Linked DNA regions of Schizosaccharomyces pombe. The gene in region 2 interacts genetically with the main gene of each other region. Each region holds a gene or a part of one and is shown on either strand. Other genes may lie near its edges. The genes, in order: SPOM_SPAC1399.02, slm1, btb1 and pfl9.

What was found.
Region 1: mutations in slm1 (region 2) and SPOM_SPAC1399.02 together harm fitness more than expected from each alone (negative genetic interaction), as found in Schizosaccharomyces pombe (one large-scale study listed by BioGRID).
Region 3: mutations in slm1 (region 2) and btb1 together harm fitness more than expected from each alone (negative genetic interaction), as found in Schizosaccharomyces pombe (one large-scale study listed by BioGRID).
Region 4: mutations in slm1 (region 2) and pfl9 together harm fitness more than expected from each alone (negative genetic interaction), as found in Schizosaccharomyces pombe (one large-scale study listed by BioGRID).

Annotation. Positions count from the first base shown.
Region 1 is NC_003424.3:1,844,805-1,850,422, reverse strand, and holds SPOM_SPAC1399.02 (transporter), read left to right. Parts: upstream 1-2,277; 5' UTR 2,278-2,532; coding exon 2,533-4,302; 3' UTR 4,303-4,775; downstream 4,776-5,618. Other genes in the region: SPOM_SPAC1399.06 (uncharacterized protein), read left to right, coding at 65-439.
Region 2 is NC_003424.3:4,562,797-4,567,602, reverse strand, and holds slm1 (cytoskeletal signaling protein), read left to right. Parts: upstream 1-2,196; 5' UTR 2,197-2,212; coding exon 2,213-3,709; 3' UTR 3,710-3,994; downstream 3,995-4,806. Other genes in the region: zds family phosphatase type A regulator Zds1, read right to left, coding at 1-296. UniProt on the Schizosaccharomyces pombe protein: Effector of the TORC2- and calcineurin-signaling pathways. Mediates actin polarization via inhibition of calcineurin-dependent transcription.
Region 3 is NC_003421.2:129,334-136,307, forward strand, and holds btb1 (BTB/POZ family ubiquitin-type ligase substrate adaptor Btb1), read left to right. Parts: upstream 1-2,061; 5' UTR 2,062-2,183; coding exon 2,184-6,227; downstream 6,228-6,974. Other genes in the region: mRNA 5'-cap (guanine-N7-)-methyltransferase Pcm1, read left to right, coding at 598-1,680; sdh3 (succinate dehydrogenase cytochrome B subunit), read right to left, coding at 6,624-6,974. UniProt on the Schizosaccharomyces pombe protein: Probable substrate-specific adapter of an E3 ubiquitin-protein ligase complex which mediates the ubiquitination and subsequent proteasomal degradation of target proteins.
Region 4 is NC_003424.3:5,525,404-5,529,705, reverse strand, and holds pfl9 (DIPSY family glycoprotein), read right to left. Parts: upstream 2,015-4,302; coding exon 1,034-2,014; 3' UTR 747-1,033; downstream 1-746. UniProt on the Schizosaccharomyces pombe protein: May be involved in agglutination during conjugation or other aspects of colony formation. Induces flocculation when overexpressed.

The DNA.
Region 1 (5,618 bases), 2.7 Mb from region 2:
TTACTCTCATTACTTTCCTACTTTCTTCTCTCTTTATACTTTTCCTTTTGTTTCAAATCGAACGATGTTTCTGCTTTCCCTGCTCCATTTTTTCCATCCTTCTCTCATACCGTCTCTCTCTCTCTCTCACACACACTCTTCCTCCCTTCCACCATACCGCCTACACTGCACTGCGCTATCTTATCGAGACTTGCTGACAAAAAAGTCCGCGAACTTTCGTTCCCCTATCTATCGCTCACACGTAAACGAAAAAGGCACCCTCACCCACTCTTTCCGACCAACGAAGGATATGCAAAGTGGGAATTGCTGGTTTACCATACTTAGAAAAGCTAGAAACCTCCTCAATCACGGAATCTTACTCTCATCAAACAACCGATCCTTTTGTTTCATAATTCAAATATCAAAAATCAATCCATTCGAGCGCTTCCTTGAAATGTAAACAAATCGCTCTACCATGCGTGGTTTTTGGTTGGATAAATTAATCAATGTTTGTGCAGCGCATCACACTATATCCCTTTAACGTTTACATGCGTTCTTTCTCCTTATATACGCTCTAGTGTGCCCTTCCCACCTACGTTGTTTATCTACGCTACTTGTCAGTAATGGTCAACTTTGACTAGTGCTTGTAGTGCTTTAAAACGTAATATCTATTAAAGACCGATGCAATCCCATTCACTCCAGTTATCAATGTCACTCGTCTTTCACAGCGTGGTGTTTAAAGTTCTTTATATGCAAAAGAACCGCAAAATGAGTAAAAATTATTATATCCATCTTTTTTAATCCTCCCTCCCCCCGGTCGCATTATTATTGAGTTACCTACTGCCTCTCTAAACCTCTCCAGCTTGCTTTGTAAAACTAAATACCCAAAACACTTGCTTAGTTTTCACTTTCTTCTAGCCCACCTTCCTAGATTCACCTTGCTTATTCAGCTGCACTTTTCCTCTGCACATTCGACAAATTCCAAACCTTCGAAAATTCGGGCCTTTCCTCACTCAATCCCCTTTCGTCCAAGTGTGCAGGTGGCTACTTCCGCTATACCCACCTCCCTTCTTCCTTCCTTCCTTACCGTGTGAGTGATGAAATCTTTCCAAATAATATGATGCTACAGTCTTACAACCCCCAAAAAAAAAAAAAAAAGGTTTGTGAGTAGAATTCACTTTTTTTTTTAAAAACATCACTTCTCTTTCTTCTAATCAGGGAATTCTGCATTTCTGCATCTTGCTCGGTATCTTAGGATAGTGTATAATAAAGCATCGCTAAAGTGGGAAATAGTAGGTAAAGGCCATTAACAATTCCGACATGCTGTTTCAGCCAGTCAGACTAAAAAGTCAAATGTACAATAAACATTGCAATTCTTTGAAAAAAAGAGTTGTATTACAGGCCTGTACATACGCACACTTTTCAATCCATAAAAAAAATCGTTGCTGTAGATTTTGTAAGACGTACAACTAAAGACATATAGAAGCGTTATTGTAATATTGTTACAAAATCCTTAAAAGGAGCACTTTATCGACCCTCAAAAGCACCTTGTTGATCCACAAACATTCTTTTGACTCATTAAAACTTTTCTTAATCATTTCATTGCTTACTTACTCATTTCAATGTTTGCTTAACCATTCCATTGATATGCAATATTTTGTCAACCCTCTCTCTCTTCATTCACTTACTTGTTTACTCCGATCCCCTATTTTCCCTTTATAATATCATACATGTTTACGATTATTTCTACATTCCTCACATTTTAAAAGATTACAAATTTATAATACTATACATTGCTGTCATTACATCTATATCAATATTAATCAACTATCCCGATATCCTCTTATCTTGGTAAATTTGCTCATTTCTTCACGGCATTATCGTTTTTGCTCACTCAAAAAGGAATACTCTTCATTCATTTTCTCGTCGTTTTTAAATGCCTGCTTTTTTCGACTTCCCTTCATTTTCTTATGCATAGACACTCTGTAGACTTTTCTCGACGAACCTCCTTATTTCAGTGTCCCTATTTTCCGGATATTAGCGCGGCTTTTTTTTTTTTGCTCTCCCTTTGCTCCATCGTTAGAAAAATCCTGTATAAATATTGCCTCTAAAGATCGTATTCAAATTTTCTACATGAAAATGCTTACTCGGTAATTACTTGGCCTAATGTGCATATTTTCTTATTTTTAAACTAAGAATATGTGCACTTAAAGCCGCGTCAATTTTCCTTCCTTATAATTTCCTATCTATGTGTTTTCTCAAAACGTACTCATTCCAGGCAAGTAGAAAAAAAACTCTACCATAACCAAAACTAGGCATCCTGGAAGTAGTGTTTTTATTCTGTGATTTAGTTAAAATTTCCCCCCTTTCTGATTGTAACAGACTTACTCAATTGTTTCATTAAAATTGCATTCGTTGTCTTGATTATTTATATTCTTTCCTTCAATATTATTTTTTTTCCTAGCAATATCTCTTTTTCTCCTAGCTGCATTCACCCTCTTCCTTACGGATTTTTTTCCCTAGTGTATTTGTGTTATAAAGTTACTAAACATAATGAATCCTTCTACTTCTCCAAATCGTAATTTGGCCTCCCCAAAGAGTTTACAACTCTATACCACAGGCAGTGAAGTAGCTTGGTATCCAACTGCGCTTGATGAAGCAAACGAAATAAAGTCTATAAACTCGAAAGCCTTTTCTTTCAAGAATCAAGATCAAATTTATGGTGCCGGTTCTCTAAAGTCTCGGTTTTCAACCCATGAAATCTCGTCTGAAAAAAATGATTCTCCTGATTTCACCCTTGTGTTGCCCTCCAATCGATTGTACATCGTTATTCCAGGACTTATGTTGTCGATTTTCTTGGCTGCCTTGGATCAAACCGTCATTACTACGGCTATTCCCACTATTGTAGCAAATCTCGACGGCGGTTCATCGTATTCGTGGATTGGTACTGCTTATTCATTGGCAGAAACATCTATCCTTCCATTTTGTGGTATTATGAGTGAAGTAGTCGGTAGGAAAATTGTCCTCTATACTTCCATTGTTCTTTTCCTCTTCGGTAGTGCCATGTGTGGTGCTGCCCAAAATATGCTTTGGCTTGTACTATGCCGTGCTGTGCAGGGCATCGGCGGTGGGGGTATTATGTCTTTAGTTACAATCGTTATAGCTGACATTACTCCTTTACAGACCAGACCTTATTACACAGGTTGTATGGGAGTCACTTGGGGGGTTGCTTCTGTTATGGGTCCTTTAATTGGAGGTGCAATTTCACAGAATACTACATGGCGCTGGATTTTCTTCATTAATCTACCTACTGGTGGTCTTTCGCTTGCACTCTTGATTTTTTTCCTCAATCTTGTACCCAAGCCTACAGTTTCGTTTTGCGTGTTTTTACGTGATTTTGACTTTGTGGGCATTGTAACCATTACGACTGGTGTTGTGTTATTTTTACTTGGCTTGAACATCGGATCTACAACAGGACATTGGGCCCATGCCAATGTCTTGTGCTATTTAATTTTTGGTATCCTTTGCATTGCCGGTTTTGTCGTCAATGAACTTTATACCACCCGCACTAGAATTATTGCTCCCTCGGCGTTTCAAACACTCTCTTTATCTTCTGTGATGGTAACCTCCTTCTTACATTATTATATCATGTCAACTGTGACTTATTACATTCCAATCTACTTTCAAAGCATCAAGGGTGATGGTCCGTTAATGTCTGGTGTTCATACTTTATCTCTGGCAGTTGTATCTTCAGTTGTTTCTGCCATTAGTGGTATGGGAATAGGAAAATTGAAAAATTATCGATATCCAATGATTGGAGGATGGATAGTTTTATTAGCTGGTACCGGTAGTATGATCGCAATATACTATGACACACCTATACCACGTACCATGGGATTCTTGGCTTTGACAGCTGTTGGAATTGGCAACCTGTTCCAACCCAATCTTATTGCTATTCAGGCTTCTGTACCTCCTGCTTTGATGGCGACTTCTTGTTCCGCATTTATGCTGCTAAGGAATATGGGTGCATCTGTGGGAATATCGATAGGAGCGGTAATTTATGATCAGCAACTTACGACACTTCTAAAAGGAACGGAATATTCTACAGGGCTTTCATACTCTCAAATTGCTTCAATTCCCAGCGTAAGCGAGAGAAACTTTGTATTCAATGTCTATGCTAATGCCATTCGTACAATCTGGATTGTAAATTGTCCAGTTGCAGGAGTAGGAATGCTTCTGTCGTTTTTTACAAAGCAAGAGAAATTATCTCAAAGCGTCACGGAGTACAAAGAAAAGGATAAGGGATTTAAAGATGCTCCTTGAAACTTATTTTTTAAAAAGCTTTTGTTGAAGAATCCCAAAACAACTGTTTATTAAATTTATTTTTCTTTACATTGCAGAATAAGGTCATTGTCTATTTACTTGATTTTTTTTATCTACGTTTGACTGGTAAAAACATTGTGTTTTCTATTACTAGTGTTTAATGTTTGTTTCGGTTTTTTTTTTTTTAACCAAGGATCGAACTTGATTGTTATAATTTTTTTCTGATATTGTTGTATGCTAATGATTTTTTCTTCGATAAGTTTACAAAAATAATTAATCTGCTTTTTGTTTTTACACTACATTTCTTCATTTCGCATTAGAGGCAGGGAGCTAAAGTGTATTGCATGTTAAAACAAAATCTTTCGCCATAAGGAGTTAAAAGTGTTAAAAATTCATGATTACTGCCATGATCTGTCGCAAACAATGTTTACTAGTTTTTCTCCCTCTCTCTTTCTTTTTTATTTTGGTTTACGGTGTAGGGATTACTCTTTACTTAATTTTAATATTTTTTAATAAAATCATTTATCTCTTCCTAGCTCAATTGCTTTGCTTGCAAAAGGTGCTATAGTTGCATCTTTTCTAAACTGCGCAACTAAGGATTTCTTATGTTTACTGATTGATCAGTTGTTCACTTGTTTTCATACTGCGCAGACCGTAGCAGCATTCCCGAACAAGGTAACGATGGATAAAAAAATCATCGCACTTTCTGAGACTATACCTTTTTGGTGGAACAAGCCGTTTGAAGCGCGGCATTCTAATATCATTTCTTTTTAGAAAAATTTAAAACCAAAACACTACTTGAGAATCTTCGTCGAAAACTCTTTTTACTTACGTGAAAAACTAACTGATAAGATTAAGCGATGTGTTCAACTGCTGGCCTTATTTTTATCTTGACAACTTTAAACTCAAAAAAATAGATGCGACAACAAAACCACGAAATCAACAGAAAACTACAAAAAGGCTTGCCGCGGTGAGCTTCCTATCAAAAAAAATGAATGAAAACAAGTATAGTTAATAGCTTGTTATATTGAAAGACGAAATGGACGACCCGTTATCGACCTATTCCAAGCAAACTAGTTTAACTATAAAACCTAAGCAAAGTTCATCAATTATCAAAATCAATTTTTGATACGACTAATTAGTTTCTTGTAGGAGTCGACATTACTTTCGACACCATTGTTTGCATCTATCCGTTTCTTTTGGATCCGGAAATTAATTGATCACTAGCTTTTACCAAAGTCCACACTGTCTTTTTCTTGAGTTTTTCTACATTTCATTTTTTTCTATTTTGTTTGGCATTACACGTTTGTTTTATC
Region 2 (4,806 bases):
TCTTCTGTGGTATCGTTTTCATTGTTGTTTTCATTTGATATTGTGATATTTTGATCACTCAATAAGTTAGCTTCATTATCAGGGCTCACCAACTTCGAACGAATTTCTACCGACGGATCATCTGTTGAGCGAGTTAAAGAGGAATTATTCTCAAGTGGTTCAGATGAAGAGCCAGATAGCTGGGTTGTGTCATGTTCATTACATTCAGTAGATTCCTGAGAAGCAACGAAAGCAGGATCTTTAGGGTCACTTTTAGTCTCAATGGATAGAGTATTAGAAACTGAAGAACTAGACATTATTTTTTATTTAAAAGGAAAAAGAAAAGAAAGAGAACCAATCAGTTGAAAAAATAGTTTGACAGAATTAATCAAATAAAAAAGAAAGAAAGGAATCGTATGCCAAGTTTGTGAGAGAATTAAAAAAATAAGAAGAAATAGGAAGTTAAGTTGCAGAGGAAATTGAAGTTGCAATGCTCTCAAAATGTATCCTAGAAATGAACAAGTTGAAAATATTTAATGAAAAGCAAAGTAAAAACAAAAAAAGAAAAAGGGGCAAATCAAAGGATTTGAATAAACAAGTACTTTATTATACTTTAATTTGAGAAGAAAGAAAGAAAAGTAGAATAAAATGGTTTCAAATATTATTTACAAAGGAAAATGAGACACCCCAATACGTGAGTAATAATCACAATAGGTCTTCTTTCAATCTTCCCACCGTTGCCAATCCGTATTTGCGAAACAAAAGTCCAGTTTTTTTTCGTTTTTAAAAAAAAAAAGGAAAATAAATAAAATGTTCCAATTCTAGTAAGGTTGGGTACTAGACGGATAATTCGTCAATACAAATCAGAAAATAGCCTTTGGCCGCATGGAATAGCTTTATGGAAATAACAGTTTTCAACTAAGGAATTTAAAAAGCAATTTCATGAACAGATCCGCTCAGAAACAAGCACAGCCGACCGTCCGTCAAACAGCACAGCAACAATGGGGCGCCTTGGAATATTAAAGTAATTTAATTAATTACTCCGATCAAAAAAGGGAAATGAAAGAAATGCAAGAAAAACACCTCAATGATTAACAAAGCGTAGAAAGGAATAATTTGGAAAAACAAACAATCCGAGTTTCATACAACACTGGTTTTCCCAATACAGACGAAGTAAACACACGAGATTCAAAAACGAAATCAAAAAAGTAACTTCTTTTTTTTCACAGCGAATGCTATTCCCTCCTTCAAGGGTAAAATACGAACTATGCAAATGTTTGGGTGCTGGAAGGATGCTCTGGAATACCAAGACACCTTTATTGCATCTCAGCAGCTTATAGTGCCGCAGCGCAATCGTCCTTCATCACTTGTGTCGAAGACTCGTACAATTTATATAACGCAAAACAACGAAGTACAGTATTAGAAAATGTAAACAAAAGGTACTTTAGTGTATTAGGTTGGATAAGTTGAGTAGGAAAAAAAAAAGAGCTAAAACCTATCTATGTTTAATTTCTTTCATAGCGTTATTTTTTTAGTAAAAAATTTGCAATATGAGTGCTTAGCGACATAGAAAAATGGCGAAAATTCGACTAATTAAGTATTTTTGAAAAGGAGTACAAAGTATAATATTTATATTTTCTGACCTCAAAACTTGATTTCTACTAGTTCCATCATTCTTCCTGCTTTTCCCTATTCAAAGAAAATAGACATATTTATCCAGTCCAACGGAGGCAGTTTCTTGAGTTACTTCCTTATAGCAGAACCAAAGAAATTGAAACGTTTGAATAAAAGAAGAAAAACCTTTTCCTTGGTTCAAACTCCCTATCAACTATAATTTCCCAATAATGTATCAATTGCTCATTAAAGGTACAAAATACCTATGTTCCCAAGCAAGCACCTATTGTTTGCCATAACTAACGAGCATATCAAGCCTTTGTTTGATGATGGTCGATAATTTTATAAATATACAAGTCGAACATACATTGCAAGTTCAAATTTTGCTTCACCTGTTTCTTTGACATTTTTTCTTAAGCACTGAATGTTCTATTTCCAACAAAACCCTTTACTTCAAGTACCACCAATTTCCTATTATGAGTTACGTTAAACAGAATACCAACCCAGAACATTTATATCGGTACAGCAAACCCCTTCAGGAGGGTGATTGGCGTCATACGAGCAGATCGTTTTCTTTAACAAGTTCCAAGTCAAAAAAGCTTCACCAAGAACCAACAAGATGGAACTTTCAGGGAAATCGGAATTTCCAACCAGGACGGAGATTCCAAACCAGGCTTCAAACGGAGATGCAGTCCCAAACACAGACGCATATATGGGACTTTGCAACTCCTTGACTTATCGGTTTGAAGGATGGAGACATTTGGTGGAAAATCTGATTGCATTCTTTAAGCAATTAGAGTCAACGTCAAAAAACAATGCAAAGGAGTATATGAAATTGAGCAAAGTTATTGTCCATCCTTACAAAGATGCTAATGTATTTGAAGAACACGGAATTCAAGATATTTTTGCAGCGCTTCGAGACCAAACGGCTGCCATCGCTTCGGATAGCGAGCAAATATCTATCCAGTTGCCAGGTACTATCATCAATATATTAGAACTTCTTCGTGAAGACCTTCGTGAACACTGTAAGAAAATCGCAGCGGAAGGTACAAAAGGTGTGAAAGTAGTTGAAAAGCAGCGTGCGGAAACTCAAAAGTATCTTTCCTTACTAGATCGGGCTCTTTTACCATGGAGAGCATCCAGTCCACCTACTGTAAACATTAAGAACGACCCTTTTATTGTAGATAGACAAGTGCTAAACTGTTTGGCTCGACAAGTTCAAGAAGAGAACAATCACTCCGTAGCAGTGGCACAGCTTCAAGAATTTTCTTTTCGTTTCGAGCAAAACCTTATCGCAAAAATTAAAGACACGGTTAAGCAGTTTGAGGGCATGATGAATCAAACCCATGTCAAAGCTATTAATCACCTCCAAGAAGTTGTTCGCGTATCAGAAGCACAAACCCTTGCTGGCGAGTGGACCGGATACGCAAAGCGTGAGCCGGAATTTATTCATGGCTCTGTTCCCCCCCGCAGCGTTGATGCTATAAAATATCCTGGTAAGAATGACCAACCCACTGTACCTATCATGGCTGGTTATTTAATTCGTAAAACAAGTTTTTTAAAGAAAAAACAAAGAGGTTTTTATGCCTTTACACATTCTGGCTATCTTTACGAATTTAAATCTTCTGATTCACTTCAAGATCCTGAACCCGAATTCGCCCTTTACATACCTGATTGTCTGATCGGTCGCCCTTCTGAGAAGAAACCCAAGTTTAAAATAACTGGCAAGGATGCTACTAAGAAAATTTTTGGCGCGCGAAACGATTACGCGTTTCGCGCTTCTAACAACACCGAACTAATGAGATGGTGGGAAGCGTTGAATACCCATATTGCTAATGTGAACTATATACAACCTTTAAGCAACGCAAATGGTCCATCAGCTGTTTCCGACAGTGATGATGATGATGATGATCCAAATGACTTCCGTCCAGCCGTCGAGCGTCAAAGTTCTACGATGAATACCCGTATGTCGCAACCAAGCTCTGCTGTCAATACAAATCGAAGTTATGGTTCGGAACAAATTCCCTCATACGCAGATAGCCAAGGAAATTCTGGCGCCAACAACAACTTTATTTACAACGCTAGTGCTACTGGTCATAATGCTTGGAATGTATAAAGATTGTATATTCGCAAATTAGGTACGAAATGTGCTCATGTATATTTGTTACACTGCCGTTGTGTTTTAAATGGCAGTCTTTGTAACTCCCCCATACCCGTCTTAATTGTATCTTTTTGATTCCCGTTTAAAGCACTTGAATGTTGATTGTGAACCATTTTACTGTTACTGTAATGAATTCATGATAGTGTTTCTTGATATATAGTGAACTTTTGAAACACCAGTCAACAAATATATAGGTATTATATATAAACTCAGAATAAATACATTTTCTGTTCACCCATACCTGTGGCTGATGACTGTTTCAATCGGGAAAGTTACTTTTTAATGTAGCAGGTTTCATTCCGATATATCTCAACCGCTCGTTTCATGTTTATTAATTTAGCAGCTGGGATGATGGTATATACCTTGTAAATAAAGTGCCTAACATACTTTTATTGGTTTTTGTGAATTAGCTGAGCGCGTTAGTGAAGTAAATTCCCTTAATTATGAAAAGTACTTCTATTATTCCTTATTGGCATTATTCTTTTAATTGGAAACGGAAAACTGAAGAATTGTATTACTGTTTATAGCATTTTCGGTACTTTCTGGACAAATTTCGAATATACTCGTGTTCAAACCCGAGAAAAATATTTTCTAGATTTTTATATTATCAAAGAACACTAATTTTAATTGAGCATTTCAGGATTTTTGAAGTTGATCGTTTAATTTATCACAGCTATCTTGATATGTGTAAAATGAAAGTATTTATTACTCTTTTCATCCTTTCAAAAATTTTATTAATTAATTTACTTTCTATTGGAAACGAAAAGGTTAGCATCGTTTGCTGTAAGCGCAGGTTGAGAATAATTACGTCGATGCTATAATAACGAGCGAAACTCTAACTTTAAAAATCATCTCGCTTAATGAATTTCAAGGTAGCAAAGATTGTAAATTCGTCGAAATTTGCTAAACAATTTAATTTAAAGCAGTAAAGTTCACAAAAAACATACCGACATTTAACGAATCGGTAAAGAAATGTTTTCGAAACTAGCAAAACTCACCACCATGAAAAAAAAATTTTCAGGGTGGCTACACAATTTGTACATGGAATAAGT
Region 3 (6,974 bases), on a different chromosome or scaffold from region 2:
TTTTGGTTTAGCAAGTTGGTATTTGGGTTTCGCATACGATGGATTCGTGTGCTCAAAAAATTAATTTCGGTTTTTAATAGGTAAGCAATAAGCAATTTAATGAAATATCTACTTTATGTATCTATCATTGTTTTATGATTACTTCTTGTTGCAATCTGGCAGTAGTAGATTAGTCGCCCAAAATTTCAAGTTTTGTTTATTTATTTATTTAGAAGCAGGTTCGTTTTTTATATGTAAACTAAATTTGGCTGAATTGAAAACATTGTCAACAAATTATATATATCTTAGCTGTGGTAATGTAAAGAATCTGGTAATCCACTTCGTATTGCAACATCTACTTTTCTCGCCAGTATACCAACCACACTGCAACCTCATGCTATTGAATATAGTCTAATTTCTCTAAGACAGTAAAGCAAGTTTTAAAAGTCATATGTTTTTGATCTTTTTTAAAGAAGTTTCTGTTTTTTGAATTATTTTGAAGAAAATTATTTGTATGTAAGTTTGTGATCGATGGATAGTCATCATATGATGGAAAGATCGTTAACCTTTGAAAGAAACTATTCTCATTTATTTATAATAATATTTATAATAAGAGATATGAGCAGCTCGAACTCCCGAGTGCATGAGGAACAGCCTCCAACAGAAAATCGCAGATATGCGAGACCTACTGCACAAATGAATCGAGTAATTGAACAACAACCAAGGCGTCGCGATTACTTCCAAAACAATGACAACTCTGGTCGCAGAGGTTATAATAGGCATGAAAACAATGGTAATGCGCAGGATGTGGTACGTTCACACTATAACGCGCGTCCTGATTTGGGTTATAAAAAACGACAATTTTCTCCTATTATTCAACTAAAGAGGTTTAACAACTGGATCAAATCTGTTCTCATACAAAAATTCGCACCCCATGCTTCTGATTATCCTATTTTGGTACTAGACATGGGATGTGGAAAAGGTGGTGATTTAATTAAATGGGACAAAGCTGGCATTGATGGATATATTGGGATTGACATAGCTGAAGTTTCCGTAAATCAGGCCAAGAAGAGATACCGTGAAATGCATGCTTCTTTTGATGCACTATTCTACGCTGGCGACTGTTTTTCTAGCTCAATTAACGAATTACTTCCCCCAGACCAAAGAAAATTTGACGTTGTTTCTCTACAGTTTTGCATGCATTATGCATTTGAAAGCGAAGAAAAGGTTAGGGTCTTGTTGGGGAACGTTTCTAAATGCCTTCCTCGTGGTGGAGTAATGATAGGAACGATTCCCAATTCCGATGTAATTGTCAAACATATTAAAATGCTTAAACCAGGAGAAAAAGAATGGGGAAATGACATATACAAAGTCAGATTTCCTGAATCACCTCCACGCTCTTTTCGACCTCCGTATGGAATTCAATATTATTTTTATTTAGAGGATGCTGTTACCGATGTTCCTGAATATGTAGTTCCTTTTGAAGCCTTTCGTGCTGTTGCCGAAGGATACAATCTTGAATTAATATGGGTAAAACCTTTTTTGGACATCTTAAATGAAGAGAAAAACTCTGAAACGTATGGACCCCTAATGGATCGAATGAAAGTCGTTGATAATGAAGGACACCGTGGAATTGGTGGACAGGAAAAAGAAGCAGCAGGATTTTATTTAGCATTTGCCTTTGAGAAGAGGGGAATTTAGTCTTTTCTTTCCTTATCCCACTGATTCACTGTGCAGACCGCATTGTAGAAAGATCTTTCACGCTCGAAAGATCAGTACAGTGGTAGAAAAAAAGATGACTTTAAAAGATGTAGATTAATTTTTGATGGCAATGACTTTTATTTATTTATTCATTTTTATGCCTTTATTCTTTCTTTTTCTGTTTTCATATATTTTATACATAAGTAACATGCTCTCTTTCATTCCAGCTTAAGCGAATAAATAAAGTATGCTCCCAGGCATATTTCATCAAATCAGATTGCCCCAAAAATTGCCTCAAATATTAAGCGATAGCTTAAATCAATGCACCTGTCGGTATTCAACTACCAGCATCCACTGCTACTCTTCTTCCATTTTTTCTTCAGCAACAGTCAAGTTAAAAAACTGGAACGTTTTAATTGATTTGAGAGAAAATTTCTTATGGAGTAATCGATTGATTAAATGATAAATTCACATTGCGCCCTTTTTTAGTCTCGATTGATTAAATGAGTCATCTGCTTTTCGCGTATTACCTTTGCAACGACATTCGCTCATTCCAAAATCTACTGAAGCAAGATGATTCAAAGGTGAAAGAGCCTAGAAAGGGTTTTTCGGAAAAGAGCGGACAAAAACTCCGTATCAACCAAAAAGATCGATACGGACGCACCGTGCTGCACATCGCCGTTTCTGAGAATAAAAATTCCTTTGTTAGATCTCTTTTGCAGCATAAAGGCATTGATGTTTTTGTGCAAGATGAAGAATCTGGATATACGGCGTTGCATCGGGCAATCTACGTTGGCAACTTGGAAGCAGCGTCTTTGCTTTTATCAAAAGATCCCTCCTTCAGATCATTGCGTATTAAAGACAAAGAAGGTCTTTCTCCATTTCAATTTTTATCACGAGTCCTTTCAAGCACTATTCATCCGGTTCTTGACTTACCGATAATAGGAAATGAACTTTATGGCTTTGGTACTAACGTAAACAATACGCTCGGAATAGCAAATGGGAAAGAACCTTCATCGCCAGAAAGAGTGTTTTTACTGAAAAACCAAACAGAGTCTCCCACATCAGGTCAACTCTTTTCCCGAGACAAAATCCTTGATGTGCAGGCTTCCAAATTTCACAGCGTCGTACTAACGGATGAGCCGTCGCAAAATGTTTACGTATGTGGTATTGGTGCTGGAGGGAGAATAGGTTTTAACACGGACGTTCAATATAACTTTATTCCTATTCCTGGTATCATTCATAAAGTTATCCAGATTTCTGTTAGTCATACCCATTCACTTGCTCTTACAAAGTTCGGAAGTATTTATTCGTGGGGAAAGAATGGTTCTGGTGAACTGGGACTTTCTAATGACGAACTGAAAAAGGATGATCCAATTCAAATTACCCCTAGGCGTATCTCTGCATTCAAGGATTATCAGATAATTGGAATGGCGGCTGGAAAAAGTTATAGCGTTGCTTGGACTGACACTGATATTTACAGCTGGGGGTTAAATAATGGCCAATTAGGTATATCTGATCATATTTCAGTTGTTTCTACTCCAAGGAGAGTTGCTGGCTTATTATCGCCTGTCATACATGCCGTTTGTACTACTCGTGCTACGATATGCCTTTTACAAAACAACAGTATAATTGCCTTTTGCAATTATAATCAAGTGAAATTGCCATTCAACGTTGACTTTGGTAGTTCGTTAAAGGTAACTAAGCATCCTCTTTCCCTCACCAGATTTAACGTTAGAAAATTATTAGCTTCAGAAAACAAACTAGCCGTGCTTACAGAACTAGGCGAAGTCTATGAATTTGATATGAAGCTTTTACTTGATCGTGATTCTACCTCTTCCAAGAATTCCACACGAACTTCATTCAAATTTACTCCATTATGGATTTTTGAATCTTCAGACCTTGCAGCTTTAGATATTGCGTGGACCGCTGATAATTCTTTAATACTATGTACTAGAAATGGCACTTGTTGGAAACGGGAGTTAAGGTCAAAAAAGCGAGAAAAGTCATCTAGTAGCCCGTATTCTAGAGGACCATACAAATATAATAGAATTGAAAATTTACAAATGGTTGTTGGAGTCCGTGCGAGCGCTTCTGGATCATTTTTTGCAATTCGAAATGATTATCTTCCACCGCCAATCTACAAGCCTTCGAATATGTTAATTGATCTTTTGCGCTCACTACTTCCCTATGACCACCTTTTACATGTAAGACAACCACGTTTGATTCCTCCCGAAGATGAAGACGGAGTCCCTATTTTTGACGAAGACCGCGCTGCATCCAGCAATGAGATGCAGCTACTTTTTGAAGGATCTATACCGATTCTTACTAGTTATGAAAATTATAAGCAATCATTTTCTGATGTTACTATTTATTGTGGTACTTCTATGTTCCACTCACATAAGTTCATATTGTGTGCTCGATCTTCATTTTTGAGAAAATTATTGCTACAAAAAAAGAAATCGAGTGTCTCCAACATCATTTACATTGAAGAAATCACTCAATCTCATTCAACAATTAGAGTTGAAGATATTCCTCCTTTAGCGGTTGCTATTCTTTTGCATTATTTGTACACGGATACATTGCTTTCTCCATGGCATCTTGATTCACGCTTTTCACCTTTAAAAGAAAACCTTTCAAAACTTGCAAACTTACTGGAGTTACCTCATTTAGCGGAGGTTTTACCGTTTAGTGTTTCCCGCCAACCTTTGCTTTCTTTAACGAATGACATTCTGCAACTATATAATAATTTTTATGTCTTATGCGAAGAAACAATGGATACAGTAATAAAGCTTAAAGATGGAGAGCTCAAGGCACATGGTCTTTTTTTAAGTCTCCGCAGTGAATACTTTAGTTCTTATTTCCAATTTGTTTCTATGGAAAGCAATAGTTTTGACATCCCAATAACCGTCAATTTGTCTCATTTGACTGTTGAGCATATGTCAATTGTTCTTCGTCATGTATACAGTGACTTAAAAGTTGAGCTTTTTGACGATTTGAAAGAATCCGATTTTCATAATTGGTTGGAAACTATGTTCGAAATTTTGTCTATTGCAGACGAGCTTCTTTTTCTTGAACTAAAAAGCATAGCCCAGCAATCCTTACTTCGCTTTTTAAATTTGAAAACTCTACCTACTCTAATGGATCTTTCACTTAGTTATCACGCTGAGGAGCTTTATTCACGATGTATTGATTATGCTTGTCACAATATTGAATTCTTTTTGGAAGCAAATCGTATAAGTGAATGGGATGGTTTCCATTTAAAAAAAGTCGCTCAACGTTTAACTGAATTGCTTTCTGATCAACGAGTACATCTTCCTTCTAGCAAGATTGCTAATAGATTATTGATAAGAGATCCAGTGTTGATGGAAAAAAGAAATTATGAGCTTAAAGTTCTCAGAGAATACTTGTTTTCCCAGGAAAGTTCTCAATTATGGGACGATTCCCCTTATCGGTCTATTTTTGAAGATCGTCGATGCAGCACTTCAGCAGTAATTTTAGAATCTGGAATTGTTCCTTCAAGTAATCAAAGTGATTCATTAAATAAGGAAGATGCTGAGGAGAAGTCTCCTAAACCAAATGTTGTTAACGTTACGAGCATTACAAAGACAGCAGGAGCTTCTGTTGAAATTCAAAACAATATAGAGTCTGCTTCGTCAGGAGGGGATAAAACACAATTAAATGGTCCTGGGGCTGATCAACCTGTTACTGCAACAATTACTTTTGACAAAACGAGTCCATGGAGGAATAGGGAAAATCTTTCTCATAATAACAACACTACTAGAGCTAGTCTTAGAGAATTGCTGGAGCAAGAGAAAGCTGATGCTTCAACTACTACGGTTTTGTCTGATTCTAGATTTATGAAAGCTCCAACTAAAAAATCCCAACGTGAGAAAAAAAAGGAGCTTTCAAAGCAAGTGCCTATTTCCAAAACAAATGTTGGCCACATCGATATCGAGTTGGGTAAATCGAATCACTCAAACCCTTGGTCTGTAGCAACACATCAGAGGGGCAGTTTTTCGTCATCAACTGGAGTGAAAAAGTCATTTAATGGTATTCTTAGAGAGGCAGCTCGAGAGGAAGGTTCATCTCAAGTAATTTATCAAGAATCGAAGAAGCGCATTTCCAATGGTTCTCCAACTAGTTGGAACCTACTTACTAAACCATCTCCCCGATCTGCTTCTTTACCAAAAAATAGCCAACCTTTATCGATTTCGGAGATTATGACTGAGCAGAAAGAAGAAATTGAGAGTCAAAAGAGGAGATCATCTTTTAGAAAAACAATTGAGGAGATACAACAGGAAGAGGAGTTTCAAAAGTGGTGGGAGGAGGAGAGTTTGAGAGTACAGAAAGAACTTGGAATCCTTAAAACTGAAAGAGATACCTCTACGAATAGAAAACAGGGACAAGCTTCTAAACAACCTCAACGAAGGCACAGAAAGGAAAAAGATTCCAAAGTGTCAGAGTCCACTGCGGAGTTTAAATCTCTTCCTATTGATATACCAAGGACTACTCACAAGAAAGGAAAAGCACGTGCAGTCAAATGACCATAACAACGACTATATACAAAAAATTCAGGACATTAATTTATTCAACTTATGAAGAGATACTTTAATAGATATGTATAAGAAAAAATATTTGCTACATGGTGAATTATTTATTAAGCTTTTGTTTCACGATACCAATCACACATTTTACATACGCTAAAAATTCAATATTTGAAAATAATAAAATTGAATAGGAAACTTTGGTCATAAAGAAATTCAAAGCACGTACGGAATGAATACAAGAATTCGATATACACGGTAATTTATAGTGTATCAAGGACAGATCCAATTGTAGTGGAAAAATTATAGGAGAAATGATGCTGCTTCGTAAATTCACTAGAGAAACCGTGACAAGCAATTACAAAACGAGCAAAGATAAGGTTTGTTTCCATTCACCTAAATCATCGCAAAATAGCCAGAGGTCAAAACGGAAAGGGCAAGAACAGCATAACCGGTACGATAGACACCCTTTAGACTTAACTCCTTGGTGGTATCCCAGATCAAGTGACGAATACCGTTAAAAATGTGGAAAGTCAAAGGATAAGAAATAACAAACTTAGCAGGAACTTTGATCCAGGTGGGAACTTGCTGAATAAGACCAGAAATGGTAGCTGTATCCAAAGAGTATCCAGCGAGAGGAGCCACCAAGTAGCCCATAGCGAAAGCATAAAGAGTACCGGCGACAACACAACCAGTGATACGATGTAAACTGGATAGATACCAAGTCAATTGAGGTTCATAGATAGT
Region 4 (4,302 bases), 960 kb from region 2:
ATTTTCTAATTATTGTGAATTTTGTTTTTTAACCCATATTCAAGAGATTAGTAACGTTATTCTATTTCTACAACAATATAGTTCATTTCTTACAAAACGAAGAAATAAAGTTGAAAACAATAATCTCATCCGACCTAGATACACTATTTACAGGCAACGCAGCATATGGTTTAGATTTTTTTTTAAATTTAGAAACATTTTTAAAAAAAACTGTTTTGATTTTCTTATCCTTATTGCTTACAATTATTAATAAGTAAAAGAGACTTTCCACAATTTAAATTCTTGCTTAAGTTTTCTTTTTTAGTAATAATGAGTAAAAAAATTCTGAATGGTCTAATATTAAACTCAAAACAAGCGCTAGACTAGTCTAGCTCCTTATCTTTAATTGTCATTTTCCTTATACAAAACTTGTCTATAGTTACTATTTAGATCTAATATTTTTTTAAGTGATTAAATTTCACTTAAGGAAATTATAACCAGTTTATCCAAACTTATCTTTAAAACCGGCCACCACTATTTTTTACGAAAAGCATAATCTACAAAATTTACTAAAATTTATCCTTTCCTGTTCAATTTTAGTACGGTTTACCTAAACCTAGTTATTTAACAAATATCAATGATTACTATGAAAGCAATTAATTTGAACTTAGATTAAAATATGCATTCCTAATACCACTAGTTATGATTAATTTAAAAAAAAAAAAAATAAATAAAATACAAATTTTGTTTACGAAAGTAATAATTGTGCCGATAACTTGGAACAGTATTTTATTAGTAGAGCAATCAATTTCTAGTGGAAAAAATAATTAAGAACTATTTAAATATCCCTATTTTCAGTTTACAGCAGAACTTGAGAAAAATATGAAATCCGAGGAAGTCAACTTCTTGACATCTTCAATAGGGATTGATAAAGGATTTCATGGATTGTAATTTTAAAATATTATATCAAATGAATGTAAAAAAAATTATATGTATGACCTGAAATACAAAAAATTAAACGAGAGTATGTGCAATTCTAAATTTGCTGCTTCAACTAATACAGTTGAAGTGTAACATCATTGGCCCTAAAATTTCTTTCGTCGGTTGATGAAACTTCTGTATCATATTCTTGTGAAGTCATCCATACTCTTCCATTGTTATCTACATGAAAGTGTAGTGGCTCATTATTTCTTGATTCAACAGGAGTAAATATGCCATCGCTATTTTTAATGAGATTCCAAGCACTTGAAAAACCATTGCCTATAATTGGATCTTCAATGTATACAGTGTAAGACGGTCTTTGACAATCACATGTTAATACTCGTTGAATAGTGGAATCATAGTAGAAAAGGTTTAGTCCCTCGTTGTCTCCATTAGTTGAAGCAAACATATTCCCCTCTCGACCGGCACCATTAGTTCTCACGGGTGCGTTTGGATCCATGTACACGTAGGAAGGGCTGATTTTATCATTGTCTATTTTAAGATGGAATGAATTTTCAGGACTGCATCCACAGGACGGTGTGATAACCTCCACTTCACCTGACTGTGTTCCAGAAGCTGTTCGCACTGTAGTTGTTGCGACAGGATAACTGGATCCAGAAGTCAATGTAGTTGTGAAAGTACCAGCAGTAGGGATTACCACTTCAACGGTATCAACAGGTGTGTTTTGACCGGTAATGGTAGTAGTATAGAGTTGCGAACCAGATGTTATAGTAGTCGTAATAGTGGATGTGATGATAGACTCAGAGGATACCGAAGTTTCATCGATATTGTTGCTAGATACGCCAGATGTCGAGATAGATGTTGGATAAATCGTTGTAGTTCCCGGTGTTATACCATTAGTGTAAATAGTAGTGAATAAAGGGCAAGCTGTTGAAGAAGCTTCACCGCCTACTGAATTGGTATCTTGACTTGATTCAAGAACAGCTTGGTTTACGCTTCGCTTTTGTATCTGTGTAAAATTATATGTGTTCGCGTTAACTAATAACAAAGGCGCCAGAGCAAAGCTAAAAATTATGTACTTCACCACATTCATTGTTTATAGGAGAAAAATTTTTAACGACTTCTGATCGCTAAATATGAACCGAAAAGACGTGTGAGAAGGCCTGTTCATTTATACAAAAACTGCGCATATAAAACCAGTACCCAAAATTTCGGAAACCCCCTTATTGTTAATCCCATAGTTATTTTTATTCGAATTCTCAATATCAAATTAAAAAATTTGAGTTCTATAAAAAGATCATTATCGGAACTTCGAAATTAATGTAGTCTACTATTTATACTGCTTCTGAGAAACTTAGTTACTTTAAGACAAGGCAATGCACATTTGTTAACGCGGCTCGCATGTTTTCGTAGTAATTCACATACCGATCGAGTTCGCAATATATGCTAGCAACAGAAATTGACGCCTCTCGTTAATTTTCTTAAGAGTCTATTATTAACCTACTTCTCTTTCAGTACAGTCGCCTTAATGAATATTTTTTTGATAAAACTACATTCATATTATTGATTTGATACTATGTAGCAAATTTCTTATAAAACACCTATACTCACTGCAGACAGTCTGGAGGCAACTTAGCACTGAAAACATGTGATTCGAAAAGGTAGTCAAATTTTTTTGTTAACATTTTAATTACTAGGTTGTTAATACTGAAATAAAAAGATGAAGCAAATCAAAACATACCTATCATTTTCAAAACATTTTAGAGTAGTTAAACCGGCATCACTCATTAATAGCCATGAAAGCTTTGGCTTATATAAACCAATATTGATGCAACGAGCACCGATTAAAGCTACAAGTGAATCGAAAAGCTTTTATCAATCGACTGCCCTCCACAGTAAATTGAACTAATTTCAAAAAATTAAAGAGTTAGTTATTATAAAAGACTAGTTTTAATTAAGATGTTTAACGGTAGCAACTTAATGCATGCCGATATAGATATATATATTAATGATTTAACGTTACAGTTGCTGAATAAATGATTAACTGATATTTTTAAAATTATGAAAAAAATGAAAGCATCAACTACATGATACATAGATTGAATAAATAAACCAATATATATCACAAATTTATTCAGAGTGATAAACCGACAAAGCATGTATATTTATCAGAACAACCATACAATTGTACCGGCAATAAAATTAAATCATATAAAACACTAATTATTCTCTTGATACTTTGCTGCGCATTCCAAATAAAGAAATACACGAAATTTTCCCATGATATTTACACTGATATTATTTCGGACGAAATGTCAGTCATTTTAACCGAACACTTTACTAAGAGACAATGATTTATCGATTGCATTTCGTTCGCTTATCATTTAAAGTTCATCTATGCAACTGAGGACGTTTAAAATTTAGCATTTTAAAAAAAAAATTTATTCCTTTTTTGAGACATTAATTTATTAAGAAATACCACTCTTAACTTTTCTTCTTTGCCTGAGCCAAATATCAAAAAAGAAAAAAACTCCATATGATTTAGGTTGTTTAATGAAATTTCGCTAGACAATTCTTAATTGAAAACTGCTCGGCTATTTTATTGTTTAGCATTGAGTTATTTTTTTATAACAAAATAAAGAGCTGAATCCATACTTAGCGTTGAAGTCTTCTTAATTTTTATATACGCTAAGACATACTATTAATATTTGGAATGTCAATATAGTCCAGATCAATGACTTTGGACCTGGTAAATTATTTGCAATTAGTATACTATTATTAGAAATATTTCATCGTAACAAATTCTATGAATCGGTATTTGTTTTTAAGTACGTTTGATAGAATTGGATAGTATATTTACAGGTATAAAACGAATCCATTAAGGTTTTGTCTTCAAATAACACCAAAAACATAAATTCTGTAACAGACTACTGAGTACTTCTGCATTTTATTTCACAAACTATCGAAAAGCTGTTTATACGAACCTTAATGCATCAAATTACAATAAGATTGAAAAAATTTATCAAATATTAATTGACCAGTTCAATCAACTTAGCATTAAAACTTATTTCTTGAGCATCACTTCTTATTGTCAATACAAAGGATTAACGCCTTTCCTCGTTTTCTCAAAGCTTGAACTTAAGTATCCCACTGTAATCCATAATTCAATTGTGTTCCCGTTAAAGTACGTCCAAAGATTGAAACTTCACTAAATCCTAATACCTAGCTGTTTAGCTCGAAATTCGGATAAGAAAAAGGTTCATCGTTAAAAAACGATCCGCTATATTTAGCAGTCCCGTCACTTCTGTCATCTGGACCCACGGGAACGGCGTGTGATACCTACCCGCTAGGTACAAACGGTATATTGTTTAGCGTTCATAA